Linked DNA regions of Schizosaccharomyces pombe. Changing the gene in region 3 together with the main gene of any one other region gives a genetic interaction. Each region holds a gene or a part of one and is shown on either strand. Other genes may lie near its edges.

Region 1 (7,737 bases), on a different chromosome or scaffold from region 3:
GAAATTTATGCTTAAGCCATTCATGTTAACGCTCATCAAGAAAGCTAATTTGACTAAATACAATCAATGGAGAGTGCTAGTATACATTGCTTGTTTTAACTGACATTTTTAAATTAACTACGATAAGTGTTAAGATTAAACAAAGTGAGAAACGTAACAGTGCTTAAGTTCAGTTTTCTTGCGAATGTATTGAATTACTTTCACTTGCCCAGCTAGTAAACAATTAAGGCTTTGGTACCGCTTTGTCCTTCTAATAAATTATGGTTAGTAGCGAAAATAACCAGCCTTTTGACTGATGAGAGGTATATATTCATTTGTCAATTCAAATTAATACGGCCTTTTGAATATTTATTTACTGAATAGTGTTGATTAATAAAAAGGCAATCTGTATAGCGATGAATCGTTAGCATCACCAAAGTCATTTTAATCAAACTGCGCTATATTTTACTAAGAAAAGCACGTTACCAATGTTAGATTAACGAATGTACATATTGAACTCAATAAATGTGTCCGACCCTTACCGAACGGGGTTTCAAGAGAGTGTCATGGATTTTAAGTTACCGTTCCCCCATCTCTGTACGATTTAGCAATTCATTGAGAAAATGGCTTTTGCTTGGAAGAAAAACTTTAGGTATGGATTCATTTCTTGAATGTGAACATTAAATATACCCTGATAGTTTTACTAATGAATGAATATTTGTAGTTATAGCAAATATGCTTCTATTTGTTCCCAAACTGTTCGTCAAGCCTTAAAACCGGAAATTAAAAACGAGGTTAAAACTCATGGTGATGCAGAGTTCCTTTATACTCGATGGAAAAATGGCGCTCAGGAAAAAACGGAGTCTTACAATTCGGCAAAGTCTGCTGATAAGGAATGAAAATAAAGGCTACAAACGAATTTTTTGTCCTTCATTACCCATTGGTAATATTTCAGCTTCATTTGATGTTTCACTCATTTCAACAGATATCACTGATGGTTTACAATCTCTTATAATGATTACTATATTCGACTTAACGTTGAATTACTAACTGATCCTTTCAATAAATTTTTATTACTTTTTTTAATGATGAAGTTTAATAGAACAAGGTAGTTTGCTCTGTTTTCTTAAAACTGTTGAGAATGGCACTTCAAATCATTGTGGTTGCTCTGTATTTTCGATCAAATCTATAATCGGCCTTTGTCTCAAAACCAAAAATTGTTGATTTTACTATAATGAGATGTAGCTAATTTAGAAGTAAGTGAGTTTTGTCACTAATATCATTCATTAACGTAGTTTTTGTTTTTGCTACTACCGAGATCATTTATAGTCGCATTACACAGTAAACTTACTACAATACTATGTTCTTAATTGTTTGTATCGTTATCTAGTTTCTAAAAAATGGCTTCAACGTCGAACAAAATTGCTTGTTCTACTGTTTTCAAACAATCATGCAAACTCACCCATTAAAAAATTTTTAATTGTATGAATACAATTTTAGAGCCCGAATGAAAGAAACAGGGTATACATACGAAATCGCATTACATTCAAAACAAACTCCACTTGATGCCTTGTACTCTTTCTCTTCTTGCAAGGATATAGTGTATCGTTTAACTTCGCTATTTAGTGACTACTTGGGTCTCTAGATATGCCACTAAAGACGTGTTTGAGACCTGTCTGCACCTGTCTATGTTGGCGTTTGTAGTCGAAGGCAACGTGCGGTATTAACGATGCAGAAAATCAACACACTCTTCTTTTTGAAAACCACGAACTAAATACGTTACACAGCAAAGACAAAAGTCACCACTTACGCTTTCTTAACGACATCAAAGAAATTACTAAACTACTTTGATAAAGTCTGTAGTAAGAGAAGAGTTACAAAACAATATCCTTATGATAAACATCCCTTAAAACTATAAAAGTTTGCTTTTGATTGCAATTCATAATCTGTTCCTACTTAAAAAAGTAGTCGTCACCCAAGTTCAAAAGTTTGTTCAGTGCATCAAAACATTAAAGAACCAGCCTTAAATTGCCTTGGGAATTAGTGAATTCATACCGATTTTATGACTTAATATAAACATCTGTAAACGCACTGATTGATTTCCTGAGGTTTTGTTTGCGTTGGGAGTTTTTAATTTTTTTTTTGTTATTAGCACTTATTTTAATTATCTTTGCTTTTTGAAGGTGTGTAGAGAGCTGAAATCTGAATTTAGGACGCTCAATAGCTTGATCTTCCAATGCAGGCTTATTGCTCAATGCTTTTGCGGAGTATAGTATTGAAAACCACAGTTGTTTGACGCTTTTTGTAATACATCGCTTCCTTTATCTACAACTTTAACATCTTATCTACATACTTTTTTCAATTTCTGGTTACAGTTTTATACAGTGATCAATTTGGAAGTCTCATATTAAGGTTATGGCAACGTTTACTCCTCTAAATGCGGCCAGTGAAGATCTGGATAAGGAAAAACGCACTTTAGAAATCCGAATTGAAGAAGCTGTTCAAATATATCAAAATGCACTTTCAGCCCAGAAGCAGGGAGATGACAATGCTGCTACAAAGTATTACGATGAGCTATTGAATGTTCGAATTCTTCGCGAACTCCCTTTTACCGTTAATTCTAATTATAAAAAAAATAATGCTTTATTGCTACTACATTACCTCACTAGAAAAAATCATGGTTTGTTTTTGCTGTCAAAGCTACAATCTTTATTATCCTTAGATCCTTCAACCGATCCCATCCCTGTGTATCGGGACGCCCTGCTCGATTTTGCTATTGCATTGGCTTGCGATTACAATGACATAGAACTTTGGTCTTTTGTTGCCGAGTTAGCTGAAAAATTGGAAATGCCAAGAATTCAAAGATTTGCTTTAGAGTCATCATTTTATACCGGCTACGAACCCTTTGACGCGGAGAGAGTATTTACGAATATTGATGATTTAAATCCTGGGAAGCTTATCTCTCTACAAAACCTATACAATTTGTTAAAAAAGTTAGGCGGTATAGCAGAACCCTTACCGCAATTGGATTTGTCGATTAGTTCTCTTTATACTTTGCCTTCTTTTTTTCCTCAATTACCCACTCCTTCATTTCATCGAAGGTCCATAAACTTATGCCCGAAAATAAAAAAACTTCAACTATCTCATGACACTCTTCATGGTTTTTTAGATCTTGTTCTATATGCATTACAGATAAATGAAAAAAAAACCCCGACTCGTGGTTTTCCTTCGACATTAATTATTCATGTTCATTCCCTGAATTTGAGCACCGCAGAATCGCATGATTTGGAATCCACTGATTCAGAATTATGGTCTGAAATTTCAGATGCAGGGCCCGATACTAATACTATTAATACAGCTGCAAAATTGTCTGAACCTGTTTATGCCAAGGACATTGTTCCACCTCCTTCGGATAATTTGCCTAAACCCCAACTCCTTAAGAGGCCGATAGATGATTCCGATGTACGCATTAGTAAAAGATCTCGTGGTAGAGACTTACGAACGCCTTCAGAGTCGAACTTGTTTTCTTTGATTGCAAGCATAACTTCGGATATTAATGAGCAAATCCAAAAAAGATTTCCTGACGCAACTTCCCCGTTTTCAGGTGAATCTATGTTTCGAGAATATAGTTCCATATTTGAAGACTATCATCAATTACTAGTTAATTTTCCTAGCGAAGGCAGTATTCCGGACCTAGATGTTTCGACCGACTCAGCAGCTAACGGAGCTTTCTCCAAAATGATTCTTATTGATTTAGCTATGCATAGTGCTAATAGACTTGAGCATATGCAGGTCCCGGATGGTTATCTTCTTCAATTATTAAGTGAAGTAAATAGTCTCAATATGGTTCCCGCTGAGCTTGCTACATTCTTTGTTGAGAGTATGTTAAGGCCTCGAAAATTAGAGCCTCCATTCTATTTGCAGCAATGTTGGGGGAAAATATTTAAAAAGAAATTTACTACAATTTGTGAGAGAATTGAAAGCACTCTTCACGAACTGGTGAAGGCAAGCTTACAAACCCCTGAAGTTTTTAATATTTCACAATCGCTTTTTGAACTGTTTTTAGACGATTACTTTTTAGCGCTCAAGTTTAGCTCCAATGATCAAAAAGACGATAATGTTTCTGAAATACCAACTGAGTCATTGGAATATAAAAAATTACGTTGCTTACGTTGGAAATCTCTTACTGAACAAGTAGTCGAATTGCAGCCGTCTTGTAAAAGTTCTAGCCAAAGACATTTGATAATTAGAAACTCATGGGCTCGAAACTTATTGTTACGGTTAACTGGTTGTTCTAGTGAGGCTATAGTTGAAAATTTCAAACAGTTGCGTTGTCTTTTGCAAGAAAACAGTGATTCTCTTGAACTTTTAAACAGTCAATGCATGGCAGATTTGAGCGTTCAGGTTGTCGATTTTGAACTTTCCAAATTACAAACCGTTGAGTTTTTTAATACTTTATTTATGAATACCAAAAACTTGGACTTTAATGCCGTTATAAAAAATTTGGAACCCGTCCTTTCTCCTGAAAACAAATTTGCAGAAGATCCTCAAGCAAAATTTATTTCTCAATTTTTGGAAAAGACTTCTACTGAATTTCAAATACACTTATGGTATTTACTGTATCAGGCTTATAGCTCAGCACATAGACCTTATAATTCGTTGTTGTGTGCCTTTCAATCGCTAAAAATTATTTTAATTAGGCTTTGTTCTTCGTCATTCAGTATTCAAGATGCCGGTCGCCGTCAGGCTGAACTACTCGGCATGCTTAATTTTTCTTCAAATTTATTCAGGATTATTTGGCAAAAATTACATGAGCAACCTGATATATTGTCTCCCTGTAACGAGATGACTGTCATTGATTGCATTAGAATTATCCTTATATACTTGCGCACTTTTGCTATTTATGTTGGAATAGATGAGGACATTTCGGATCAAAGGATTCCAAAACCTTCAAACCCTGAGTTTGATTCTTATGCTCAAACGGTAAAAGATTCTTTGATGAGTGGTTGGTGCATATTTTACACTCTGTTTGCGCATTTACTTCATTACGATTTTATTAAAGCTGATGCTCAAAAGTTATTACCTCAAATCCTTACCGCAATACATAGCCAATATTCCTTTAGAGGTTATTGTTCGAGCTCTAATCAATCATTTTTAGAACTCTCTCAAACTGAATGCCAACGATTAGATGCTTGGGAAAACGAAAATGAAATTTTACAATGCGTTTGTTGTCGCTTTAACCTAATTATTGGCAGCGAGTACTATGTTCCACAATCTCATCAGTCAGATTCTGTTAATTTGACTTCAAATGATGCCATAAAGATAATACCTTTCATACTCGGCTTTGCTGTCAAACGGTCGCATGGCTGGGTAATGCCTCGTTCTGATCAAAAAAACGCATTAGAAATAATTTGTAAGGTAATTAGGTTTCCTGGTGAAAATAATGCTGACGTTTATTTCAACAAATGTGCAATTAAAGAATTTTTGGAAAGAGATATATCTCCACAACTTACCAAAATGTTACTAAAGTCCAATGACATCCTTGGTTTACGCGAAATTGGTAGCAAGGTTGTGGATGATCGTGTTAGGGGGCTCTACTATGCTCAATCTCAAGTACTGTTTGGATATTATCGCTCTAGACTGAAAGGTAGTAGATGCATTAACGATTTACTTGTGATCATCAAGTATTTTCTTCTTGACTTGTACCTTAATCCACGTCGACAAGATTCATGGTATACTTGTTCCTCCGTATTTTCTTCATTAGCAGATGAAGAGCTTGGCTGGAGTGCAGAGCAAATCTGCCTCGCAGACGATGTCATCAACGAGTATAGGAGAAAAGCCATCCTTTGTAACTTAATGGCCTTATCGTTGCCATTCACTCAGGACAAATTATTTAAGGCAAACGTCTATTTTGATTTTGCTATGAACCTTTATGCATCCGCTCGACCTCCTTTAGAGATGGCGGCTTTTCTTCCCAGTGAAACCCGTGTTTTTAGTGGGGCTTCGGGTCTTTATAATTTATCAATGAAGCCAATTGAAGTATCAAAAGTTATAGCTTTGGCTGCTGACTATTTTGGCATGTCTGCTGAATTAAGTAATGATTGGAGAGCTTTGTACATGCTAGGCAAAGCATGCCGTAAATGTGGTGATATGGAGAATGCTTTGGTCCATTTTGAGGCTGCTGCTGCGTTGGCTCCTACTAAATCAGGTAGTGGTTCCCAGCAAGCATTGCTTATTGAGCCACATTATGCCTTACTTTCCAATTTGAGCAAGGCTGCTATAGAAGGTTCAGTGGAAATCGTTCAAATTCTTTCATATTTACGACGTATCCGACATCCTCCTAAAGATTCAGGAAGCCTTTTGGAAGTCAAAAACGAAGACGTAAACATTTACAAAAGGAATGCTTTACTATTTATACTAAAGGCGTTAGCAGAGATGCGTATTTTGGATAAACAATCTTGGCACCATCGACCAACTTATCGCATTGCTAAAATCATGGAGCATTTAGGTAATGTTCAACAAGCAAAGGAAGAAATGGAAACTTTATTCTCATACAAAACTAGCGGGAAATCGCTATTGAACATTTGGAGGACTCCTAATGAAAGACCTGGACGGCATTTTTATTACGGTGCTACCTATTCAAGATATCTACTCTCCCTTTTTTACAAAACCAACGACAAGGTAAACTTTTTGCAGTTTTTAAAAAGATTTCGTCGTTCATCCTCCACTATTTATGAACACCGTCAAATTTGGCTGGACATAATGATCAAGTACCTTGAAGACTTGAGACTTCAGCACTCCGTAAAAGAGACTCAGATTAATGATTTACCACTTGTGGAATTTAAATATGTCTACAAAGAAATAAGTTTATTAGATGAACAAAAGTTGAGCCTTCTTCATCAAGTATATGAAATCAGGAAACTGAACAATGGCCTATATCCAACAATTAAGGTCGATGATTTTCTTATTGACTGTTTCATGAGCCTTTATAACGAAGTGAAGTCTTCGATCTCCCCTTTAGATGCCAATATTCCGAACTCACCCAGTACGATCACGGCCAAACCTCTGAATGACGAGAAGGCTATTAATAATGAAAATTCTGTAAAACAAAAAACTGTTATTACAAGGAAGGACGTGGTTTCTAAAGTATTAGCACTGTTTAGACCTCATAGAGAAACTTACTATCGTGAAACCCAGAACAAAATATTGCAAAAGTTGGCTTCCACTTCATCCTCATTGGTAAGATCGTTTACTGAAGATTCCTCACAGGCAGGTGAAAGTCCAGGTATACATGAAGAAATTCAATGAACCTATGTGCCTTAACCTCCATAAGGATTTCGCTACATAAATTTAAGACAGAAGCTCCTTCTATTGTTTTTAGTTACTAAAAAATTGAAGCTTTTTTTGTCATATAATGAAAGCTGGCATGTAGATTTTTTGTATCGTGCATTGAAGTGTTTGCAGTCAATAGTGCTAATTTCAACAAAGCATAAAATCCTATTGTAAAAAAAAAAAAAAAAAAAAAAAAAAAAAAAAAGGTATCTACTGTACTATTAAAGATGCTCAGACTATCTTTCTGTCCTAGTAAAATAACTTGTAAGCACCATAGCCCATTCCATTTAAGAGCTTATAAAAGTTTAGACTTCATTTTACGACCACACTTCACAAGACTCCTTCGCACAAATCCCCCCTTTTTTTTTTAATAATAATATTCAAAAACAATATTTATTAATAAATGAAAATTAAAAAAATTCCATG
Region 2 (5,441 bases), on a different chromosome or scaffold from region 3:
TAAAAAAGTAAAATTTTTGCATTTTACCATATTTTACTTTAGTTTTAATTTTGTTTTTCATTAAAGACAGTTTATATTGGGTCATTAAGGAAAATTTTTTCCATTCAAGTGAAGACAAATTTTATATTGGTACAAGTTATTCTGTACTTGTCCTTAAACACATCTAATCAAAATAACGCTAAAAAGAAAATTTGAGAGCATGGCGGAAGAAAAAAAGGAAGAATTGTTCACAAGTATTGGCAATGCTGCACAAAATGTGTCAACAGCTGAGGATAGGGAAGGAAATGGTGTTCAAGAAGTCGAATCGTTGTGTATGGAGTGTGGAAAAAACGGTACTACTAAATTATTGTTGACGGTCATTCCATACTTCCGTGAGGTTGTTTTAATGTCGTTTGAATGTCCTCATTGTGGGTTTAAGAATGCGCAAGTTCAACACGCTGAGACAATTCAACCGGAAGGAAGCAAAATTACTTTCCATGTTGAGGATAAGGAAGATTTAAATCGGACAGTTGTAAAGAGCCAGGAGGCTATTGTCAGTATTCCTGAAATTCAGCTAGAAATCCCGGGAAGGTTAGGCCAGTTAACTACCATTGAGGGGATTCTGAGTAATGTGGTGGATGATTTAAGTAAAGAACAAGAATCTCGTAAGGAGTCTGCTCCTCAGTTATATGACCAAATAAATGCTTTCATTGAGAAAGTGAATAGTCTACGTTCTGGATCTGTACCATTTACCATCACAGTTGACGATATTACGGGCAACAGCTGGATCGAGATGAAACCTGGCCGAGATGGTGACCGATGGTCTCAGGTTAGCTACAAGCGTACTTTGGAGCAGAATACGAAGCTGGGTCTTGTGGATACTGATCAACCTGAAGACGTCAAGACACAAACAAACAACGCTTCTAATACACTTAAACATGATGCTACTGCTGTGGAAGTCGATCCCAATGAGGTACATACCTTCCATGCAACTTGTCCCTCTTGTTCACATCAATGTGACACCCACATGAAGTTGCTTGATATTCCCCATTTCAAAGAAGTTATTATCATGTCTACTGTTTGTGATCGTTGTGGATATCGTTCCAACGAAGTAAAAACTGGTGGTGAAATTCCACCCAAAGGTCGAAAAATTACTTTAAAGGTCATGGATGCCGAGGACTTATCCCGTGATATTCTCAAATCTGAAACCGCATCTCTTAAAATTCCTGAACTTGGACTTGATTTGTTCCCAGGTACTTTGGGTGGACGATTCACAACCATTGAAGGTCTTCTAGCTCAAGTTTATGATGAGTTATATGGCCGTGTGTTTTCTCAGGAGACCGATTCTATGACTCCTGAGCAAGTCGCTAACTGGCAACAATTTCTCTGCAACTTGACGGCTGCACGTGAGGGTGCTACTCAATTCACTCTTATTTTAGATGATCCTCTTTCACAAAGTTATCTGCAGAATTATTACGCTCCCGATCCAGATCCAAATATGACTATTGAGGAGTATGAACGTTCATTCCAAGTAAATGAGGAATTGGGTCTGAACGATATGAAGACAGAAAACTATGAAAAGGATGGAGGTAAGAAGTAAAGTTCGAGGTTTTTGTCAAATGTTAGGGAATGTATTTAATATAGTAATACTATGTTTTTTTGGGGGGTTTATTGACTATGAAGATATAATAGTATAGTAGATTAGCTAATTTTTATTTCCCGTAATGTTTTTGTTAGAGACTGATGCTTTATTATTTTACTTTTAGTTTAAAATAGTTACTTGATTTATCGCAAATGTTATGAGGCTAATAATTCGAAGTATTAGTAAACCATAAAATTTGCTACAAGAAATGTTAGATAGTGAAGCTAAAATTATTACCAATAACAAACTTGTAACACATATTTAGCCGATACCAGAAATAATTGATTCATATTTCACAATTTCATTATTTGTATACCATGTTTAGTGAAGGGTAACAATGGTGCGTAATTTAAAGAACGCGACACGCTATAATAGTAATAGAATTTAATTTATATATACATCTAGATATTTCTCAACACATACCATTGGTATAAACAGCACTTTCCTTTTTTTTTTGTTTGAATCCTTATCCCTCTTTTCCTACCCTTTCTTCTATTTCAGTAATCTCTTTTTTAATAATTGCTAATATATTTAATGATTCAGCAACCAACAACTGCTAAACCTAGAATTTCTACTTCTTCAAAGTTAAATACTGTTTTATCAAAAAACAAAGAGAATGTTCCTGGAAAGTTGTTTAAAAAGTTTAAATGCCCTTCTTTAGTGATTTCAGAAAAGCGAAAAGAGCTTCCTTTACGCAAAAAGCCAAGAGTTAACTACAGCGAATATGGTTCTGTTGATGGGAAGTATGATTCAGCTTACGTATCTGAAAATGTGTCTGGGTTGGCAACCATCAAAGAAGCTAATCGATTAATACTAAATCATGAACGACGAGATCCCTCAACAGTCATTAAGAAACAGTTCTCTGTGCCTAAACCTATCAAGGGTCATGAAGATATATCTAAACTGTGTGCACATCGTCCACCTCCTACACTGGGAATGAAAAGGAAGGTGGATTTTATTCCTCGTCCCCTTTACGATCCTGCTGATGAATTTGCTATCGTTTTATATGATCCCACTACTGATGCAGATGAGATCATTCCTGATATAAAAGAGGTCTTAGCGGAAAAACGTAAAAAAGATGAATTGTTAAAAAATCGAAAAGGAAAGAAAGAAATTTCTGATAGTGAGCCTGAAAGTGACCATGATTCATGTGTCTCCACTGACACAGTGGCTAGCTGTTCTACCGAGCAAAGTCTCATAACCTCTAATACCTCAAAGCATAGAAGACCAAATAAAAGTTTGAAAGATCTACTAGGAATTCAGAAAGAAAAACCTCCACCTCCTCCTGTTGCTGTTGTCATTGATCCAAAACTTGCTCGTATTCTAAGACCTCATCAAATAGAAGGTGTCAAATTCTTGTACAAGTGTGTAACTGGAAGGATTGACCGTTGTGCAAATGGATGTATTATGGCAGATGAGATGGGACTTGGTAAGACACTTCAATGTATTGCTTTGTTATGGACCCTTTTAAAACAGTCTCCTCAGGCTGGAAAACCGACAATTGAAAAGGCAATTATAACTTGTCCTTCTTCTTTAGTCAAAAATTGGGCTAATGAACTTGTCAAATGGTTAGGAAAAGATGCTATTACTCCATTCATATTGGACGGTAAAAGCTCCAAACAGGAGTTAATCATGGCTTTGCAACAATGGGCATCCGTACATGGACGACAAGTCACACGTCCAGTGCTTATTGCCAGTTATGAAACCCTTAGAAGTTATGTTGAGCATCTCAACAACGCAGAAATTGGAATGCTTCTTTGTGACGAAGGTCATCGTCTTAAGAATAGTGATTCTTTGACTTTTACGGCATTAGACAAGCTAAACGTTCAAAGGCGTGTCATCCTTTCTGGTACCCCTATTCAAAATGATCTAAGCGAATACTTTTCGTTGTTAAATTTTGCGAATCCTGGGTTGTTAGGTTCAAGGCAAGAGTTCAGAAAAAATTATGAAATTCCAATTTTAAAAGGTCGTGATGCTGACGGAACAGAAAAAGATAAGGAGAATGGTGATGCTAAGTTAGCTGAGTTAGCCAAGATTGTCAATCGGTTTATTATTCGTCGTACGAATGATATTCTCTCCAAATATTTGCCTGTTAAATACGAACATGTTGTCTTTTGCAACCTTTCCGAATTTCAGCTTTCTTTGTACAAGCATTTTATTACCTCGCCTGAAATCAATAAAATCTTAAGGGGGACCGGCAGTCAACCACTAAAAGCTATAGGTCTGCTAAAAAAAATATGTAATCATCCTGATCTATTGAATTTAACTGAGGACTTGGAAGGTTGTGAGGCTCTATTCCCTCCAGGATTTATTCCCCGTGAGCTAAGAGGGCGCGATAGAAACATTGACTCCTCTTTATCAGGTAAAATGTTAGTGTTGGAACGAATGCTCTATCAAATAAAACAAGAGACAGACGATAAAATTGTTTTAATTAGCAATTACACCTCCACGCTTGACTTGTTTGAGCAGCTTTGTAGAGCTCGCGGTTACAAGGCTCTTCGGCTAGATGGTACTATGAATGTAAATAAACGACAACGTTTAGTTGACACATTCAATGACCCGGAAAAGGATGCTTTTGTGTTTTTATTATCTTCTAAAGCAGGTGGTTGTGGTATTAACCTTATTGGCGCTAATCGTCTTATTCTGTTTGATCCCGATTGGAATCCAGCCGCCGATCAACAAGCTTTAGCTCGAGTTTGGCGTGATGGGCAAAAGAAGGACTGCTTTGTTTACCGTTTCATAGCTACTGGAACCATCGAAGAAAAGATATTCCAAAGGCAGTCTCATAAGCAATCTTTGTCTTCTTGTGTTGTGGATGAAGCTCAAGATGTCGAAAGACATTTTTCGCTTGATAACTTAAGGCAGCTGTTTCAGCTTAACGATCACACAGTCTGTGAAACTCATGAAACATATAAATGTAAACGGTGTCGTGATGGAAAACAATTCATCCGAGCCCCAGCCATGTTATACGGTGATACTAGCACATGGAATCATTTTACAAATCCCACATTAGACCGAATAGAAGATCACTTGCTAAAACGTGAGGCAGGAAAACAGCAAGTGAGTACCGTTTTCCAATACAAATCTCATTAATTTTTACGTGTTTAATTACGCTGCTCTCTTCACAAATCCTCATATTTTCATTTAGTTTGATTTGTCTTTAAACTACTCTCACCTCTCTTTATCCCTGTTTGATTTGCTATTCGATGCATAAAACAATATCATGAATTTAATTCCGGTTTTTAAAATATAGTTTTTAATTTAATTAATATCCAACCCTCAATTGTATCCTACCAAACCTCAATTACTCCTTGGTAAGCTTTGTGACAAAATTATTACGAATTTACAGGTATGCTGAAATAAATTTTTTTTTTTAGAATGTTATATTCAATTGTTAAGAGCATATAATTTGTCATATTTTTCTGAAACATTTGAAATTGCATTTGTTAGTATTCGAACCCGTGACAGTTTTAGCACTGCTTTTCTATATTAAGATTGGGATGTCTCGAATTTTTGTTATTAACCATGTAGCTACTTTTAGGCAAACTGCATACATCTTATATGCTTTTTGTCACTCTAATAGCTTATATAAACATTGCTTATGTCTAAATACTTTGGACGTTCAAACTCGTGAATGTTCCAATATAGGTAGAAGCTTACATAACCAATTATTTATTTAAGGGTTGTTTCATTTGCAATCTTATATATTACTTCTAAATATTATATATGCATATTTACTTAACAAAAATAGTAACATTCAATAGTAGTTAGACCCGGATTATAAAGCCAATCGACAAATATCAAGTTTGCTGGCAACGGA
Region 3 (5,203 bases):
CAACACGAAGGCTTGCGTTTTGTCTTTTCGCCTCTTTGATGGAATCAATGATGCGTAGACGGTTTCCCTCAAAGTCCATTGCCCACTGGTTCAGCTGACTACAGAAGTTAGATCATTGAGACGAAAAATGATTATAGCATACCAAGATGCGATGGTTACATATCGTTCCATAATGAACTGAATGCTTAACTTGAGGTTTATTCCCAAACAAGTAATTTAACTTATAATGTTTTTTTCGTACTATAAAAGTTCCAACTATGAGTGAAGATCGAAGTTTCTATTCAAATGTCTATTCACGGTTATGGCAGTAAGTAAGAGCAGGAGGTAGTTGTCATAGTAGAGTCAAGTGTAAATAAAGGGTTCGCATCATATAGCAAAAATGCCAGTTTCCCTAAGTAAGAAAAAGAAAATTTAAATAATTTTAAAGACCCTCTCTGATATTAGTAAAAAGAACCTTAATACTTCTTATGCAAATTTTGGCGACTCTTCTAACTACATGTGTATTAATTGTACATTACTACATAGCTTAAAAATTGATTTATAAAATCAGAATAATTGTAATTTTTATTTGATATTGCAATACAAATTCTAGTTTTAGCGATATATCTTCTCAAGTGAAGTCATTTCTGGGACTTCCTTTAATAAAAAAATTTGCCTATCTTTTTCAGATATACGAGCTAATAAATGAAATTTTTTGATTTAAAGTCTGTCTGGTTTTATTAGTGTTACTCGCTTATAATTACAGGTTTTTTGATGATTATAGAGCAAGCTGATATCTGGAATACGCACAACAGTAATTACATTTTTTTAATAGTACAAAATTGTTTTAATTTTATCCTTGAAAATATTTCATGATTTAATTAATATACTTAGTTCTTGGAGCATATAATCGAAATTACTTAGCTTAAAGAAGAAGAAGCAAAGCGACAGATGCCATAATGGTTGATACTCATTTTTTAACTCCCCTTCAGTTACTTCTTGTTGCAAATTATAGACAGATGATTCTTCAGCTGCTCAATAAATTTAATAGTTTTAGTGATTGCAAAGATCAGTCTTCTTTTTTGAAAGGGTATTAATTAGAATTGACAAAAGATTTCAGGTTTATTATTACAATGAAACAACTTTCTTCATCTTCTTGGGCTTTTTTCTCCTAAATTTCGTCCAAGTACTAAATTTTAGGTAAATTTCTATCAGTGCGCTTAAACCAACTTTAATAACTTAATTTGTACCTATCTTCGACATGGTGATGAGAATTGCAAGTTCAAGATTTCGAGCAGAATTACCCTCTATAGGCCTTTTATGTTGCTAAAATTATAACATAAGTACTTTTGCACCTAATCGTATCATCAATCATCTTTGATGAATTTTCTTGCCTGCAAACCTCAAAAGCGATAGAAGAACAAAAGAATCAGTTTTATCTCCAACTGCTATGTTTAGATTCTCTATTATAATGCGACGATAGATACAAATTTACAAGATAAATAATTTTACATTACGAATATTTGAAGCAATCTGCCTCTGTAAGCTCAACTGTAAACTTCATGGTTTAAGGTGAAAAAAGACATCTTTTTTTATATATCATTATGTATACACACAGTCTGTCCCTATGAAACTATCAATCGGGATTATTAACCATTGTTTCCGTTTCTCGATACAGGATATTGAAAATTATCTAACAGTTTTGCTTCCTTGGGCACTAAGAGACCTTTTACTAAAGAAAAACCCATCAAATATTAGACCTTGTAGATTAGTAAAATTAATAAAAATAAGCATCTCTCTTGAAACCATCTCAAGAGATAATCTGCTTCTGCTTGCGTATTATAAAGTTACCTTCAATCATTTCGGCGTGTAAACAAGTACCTCATATCAATAACCAAAAGCTCAACTCGTTTGTAGTTCATAAAGAAAAAGAAAAGAAAAGGAAACCTTGTTTAAGGATTCTACAAAGATGTAATTTTCTGGCTTGAGATCATTTACTTTCCTAGATTTCAACTTTCTGCTGTATACCAACCATTTCCTAACTACCATCCAACAAAAGCACGTAATTCCCATTCCTAAAGCGAGAGCAATTAATGCTCAAATGAGGTTTATACATGAAATAGATATTCTCACTCTTATTCTTTAATTAATTATTAAATAGGGTGGTTTGTGAGTTTTTTTCAACAATATTAAGCTTTTCGTAAGCCACCTTTCGGAACTGCCTTTACAGGCTTTAAAACTTATATTCTATGGATACAAGTTCCAATGTTTTTCATTATCAAGTATTGTGGACGTCTGATAAAGCAAAAAAAGTAAAAGTTTGGAAAGATGGGACAATGCGCTTCCACAGCTTCAATAATCGTGGAATTCTCTACGATTCTGATAACCGAGTCGTAGATGATTTTTTCCTTAACAACAAGAGAATTGTTCTGGATTCTGAAATTGAATTTAATAGAACTATTGTTTACGTTGAGAATTTACAAACAACTACTGAAGCGAATATTCCACCTATACCGAGGAAATCAAAATTGAGTGAGACAGGGAAGAGGCCAGCTTATTTATTAAAACCATTCCAGCCTCCATTTCACTCCGCTAACTCAGATGTATCTAACAATTCAAATGGTGCTTTATCGTCAAATATGTTAAAAACACACGCTCATCATACAAATTCAACAAAATCCACGATCTTCCGGAACGCAAATTTGCAATCTTATGGAGTAGATGACTCAGATATTGGTAGTTTGAGATGTTCAAGTAAGCATCAACTGTCAGTAACACCGGAAATACAACCCAAAGCTAAGTTTAGACCAAACTCATATCTAGCTTCTTCTGTTGAGGAATCTAATCGAGCTAACAATACCTCTCCCTATCCCCCATCTAACTCATCCGTAACTGCGCTACCGAAACCTTCGAAAATTGCATATATCCCTGTTTTGTCAAAACCCAAGTCTTTTAATGGCACCTTGGTTGAAGATCCTGTAGAAGAATTTGGAGAAGACGACATAGCTTCTGACTTTTTTTCTTCCCCTTCTGCCGATCTCGAGGCAGATGATTTTACCACTCTAAATAATTCAAATGCTGGTCATTTGTTACAAAACCTAAGTAATGATAACGTAAGTGTCTCCGTGAAGGCATTAGAAAATGGAAATGAAGAAGTTTCTAATAATCATGCTCGATCTCCTCATTCTTCCCGCGCTTGTAATACCATACCTTCCAACAAAAACGATGGGCTAAATGATGATCATCAAAGACAAGATTCTTCTGTTGCAGAACCCAGTCCTACTTCTAAACGTCTCCGTTTGACTCGCCTTCCGTTACCTCTGCTTCGGAAACCCACGGGGAAACGACAAAACTTTATTAATATCACAGTTACCGACCCCTCAAAAAACTTGTACGAAAGAAGTGTCAAAACTGCTGCCGAGCTGGCATCGCTTCAAAATGTAACAGAAACAACTGATAATGAAATACCAAACTCTCCTGATTTTCTAGATGCAGCATCAGAAGAGGATGAACACATTCCTTCGCTAGATTCGTCATCTCTTTTAACACCTTTGGCTTTGCCCAACAAAAAAGCCTTTCAACCCGTGAAGTTTCGTGTACCGTCTTTTTCATCTCCTTTAGTTAAACCAGCATCTTCGTCCTCGTTTGGTAGGAGTCACTCTCACTTAGGCACGTCCCTTCGCTCAAACGAACTTAATGGATCTAGTGCTTCTTCTTCAATCTTTCTACAATCCAACAATGCAGTCAATCCTAACGTTTCACCTTCTACTGTGCTTGAACATGCCAAACATCCTTCCTTGGCCAAACATTCAGGTGTATCGCTGAGAACAGGCTTGTTGATATATCCTAAATATGCAAATGGTTCGAAAAGAAAAGACGGTTTTGGAGCTACTTCTATAATATCTTCAGGGGAACATTCGTCGTTGCCTAAAAACTCGAAATCCAGAAATGTGTCGGTATTTTCTAGCCCTTTTAATGTCCCTTCGTTTACTGTTTCTTCTTCGGACCAAGTCCAAAAGAAAAAAGGAAATGTTCCTAATGCTATTGAAACGGACTCTTCTCCTTCGGATACCATTTCATCCTCGCCTACTGTTCGAGCTGTAAATCTCTCACCCAGCAAAAACCAAAAGCCTCCGAAAATACTTACCAAAATTCCGGATATTTTTTCTAAAGCGGGAAAGAAATCTCCTATTTTACCAACTTTTCAAGAGTCTTGTTCGTTACCTATTGAGCCTTTTTCGTCAAACATTACGGATTTGCCATTTGTAAATACAGTAACACTTGCTTCAACGAGTAGCAAGATCAAAAGGGCAAAGTTAAAAATGCTAAAATTTAAGCATGCCATGACTACACAAGGACGCGATCTCGATTCGGACGAAGATGGTGACTTTATTTGAAATTAATTTTTCTTTCGTACGTTGAAACTTCTCTCTCAAGCCGACTTTGTTACATATAATTTTTAATTCAAAAAACAGTACTGAATTTTGATTTCTGGTTTCCTTCATGTATTATTATCAACATTTATTTTTCCATAGTTCATTTAGGTTTTAGCTATACTTATTTAGCTCTTTTACATATAATTAATTTTTTTTTTTTAAACATTAGATTTCAGCTTGTTTTTGGTGTTGTTAGTACAATTCTAGGTTTTGATTTTCATTTTTTAGTAGCACATACATTGCTTTTTCAAAACCTTGAGTTTCTTCTTTGAACCTTTGAGCAAATAAGTATCAGATTTATTCTTTTCTTTTAAAAAACCAACTATTTGGGTTATTATGAAAATGTTGTAAATATTTTAAGTTAAATTATCTTTTGTAGTCATTTATTTTCTATACATGTTTAAATTTTTCAGCACTAAATAGTGTCTGTTGGTGAGCTCCAAAAATCTTGTTAAAGATGGGTAAAAAGCGAAAACAGACCATAAAAAATGACTATAATGAAAAAATTACGAAAAGAAAGGTCAAAAATAATTTGACTGATGGAAAAGCTAGAGCGTTAACGGTTTTTGAGTCTTTACCTTTAGAAGTTTTAAGATTAATATTTTTGTTATCCAATAATTCGAATTTGGCAGTGACTTCTCGTAGTTTGAGACACCGATTATCTTTAAGGAATAATACGCCTATCTTCATGCCTATTGATTTTACTCTTTCAATGGTACCCAAAAGCATCATTCTCTCTATTCAACGTGGATTGCTACGCAGGTATTTTACACTTCAAATCCTTACAA

The links.
Region 1: mutations in dbl2 (region 3) and hip3 impair growth when combined (synthetic growth defect), as found in Schizosaccharomyces pombe (one study listed by BioGRID).
Region 2: of dbl2 (region 3) and rad54, a mutation in one rescues a mutant of the other (synthetic rescue), as found in Schizosaccharomyces pombe (one study listed by BioGRID).

What each region holds. Positions count from the first base shown.
Region 1 is NC_003423.3:3,777,328-3,785,064, reverse strand, and holds hip3 (histone chaperone Hip3), read left to right. Parts: upstream 1-1,737; 5' UTR 1,738-2,394; coding exon 2,395-7,287; 3' UTR 7,288-7,405; downstream 7,406-7,737. Other genes in the region: F0-ATPase epsilon subunit Atp15, read left to right, coding at 603-631, 704-878; histone chaperone Hip1, read left to right, coding at 7,715-7,737. UniProt on the Schizosaccharomyces pombe protein: Has a role in a nucleosome assembly pathway that is required for the integrity of heterochromatin and proper chromosome segregation.
Region 2 is NC_003424.3:3,679,860-3,685,300, reverse strand, and holds rad54 (DNA repair protein), read left to right. Parts: upstream 1-2,035; 5' UTR 2,036-2,155; coding exon 2,156-4,714; 3' UTR 4,715-4,941; downstream 4,942-5,441. Other genes in the region: EF-1 alpha-binding zinc finger protein Zpr1, read left to right, coding at 200-1,579. UniProt on the Schizosaccharomyces pombe protein: Plays an essential role in homologous recombination (HR) which is a major pathway for repairing DNA double-strand breaks (DSBs), single-stranded DNA (ssDNA) gaps, and stalled or collapsed replication forks.
Region 3 is NC_003421.2:308,311-313,513, forward strand, and holds dbl2 (DNA recombination protein Dbl2), read left to right. Parts: upstream 1-2,003; 5' UTR 2,004-2,228; coding exon 2,229-4,376; 3' UTR 4,377-4,585; downstream 4,586-5,203. Other genes in the region: qns1 (glutamine-dependent NAD(+) synthetase), read right to left, coding at 1-98, 143-171; SPOM_SPCC736.02 (uncharacterized protein), read left to right, coding at 4,873-5,203.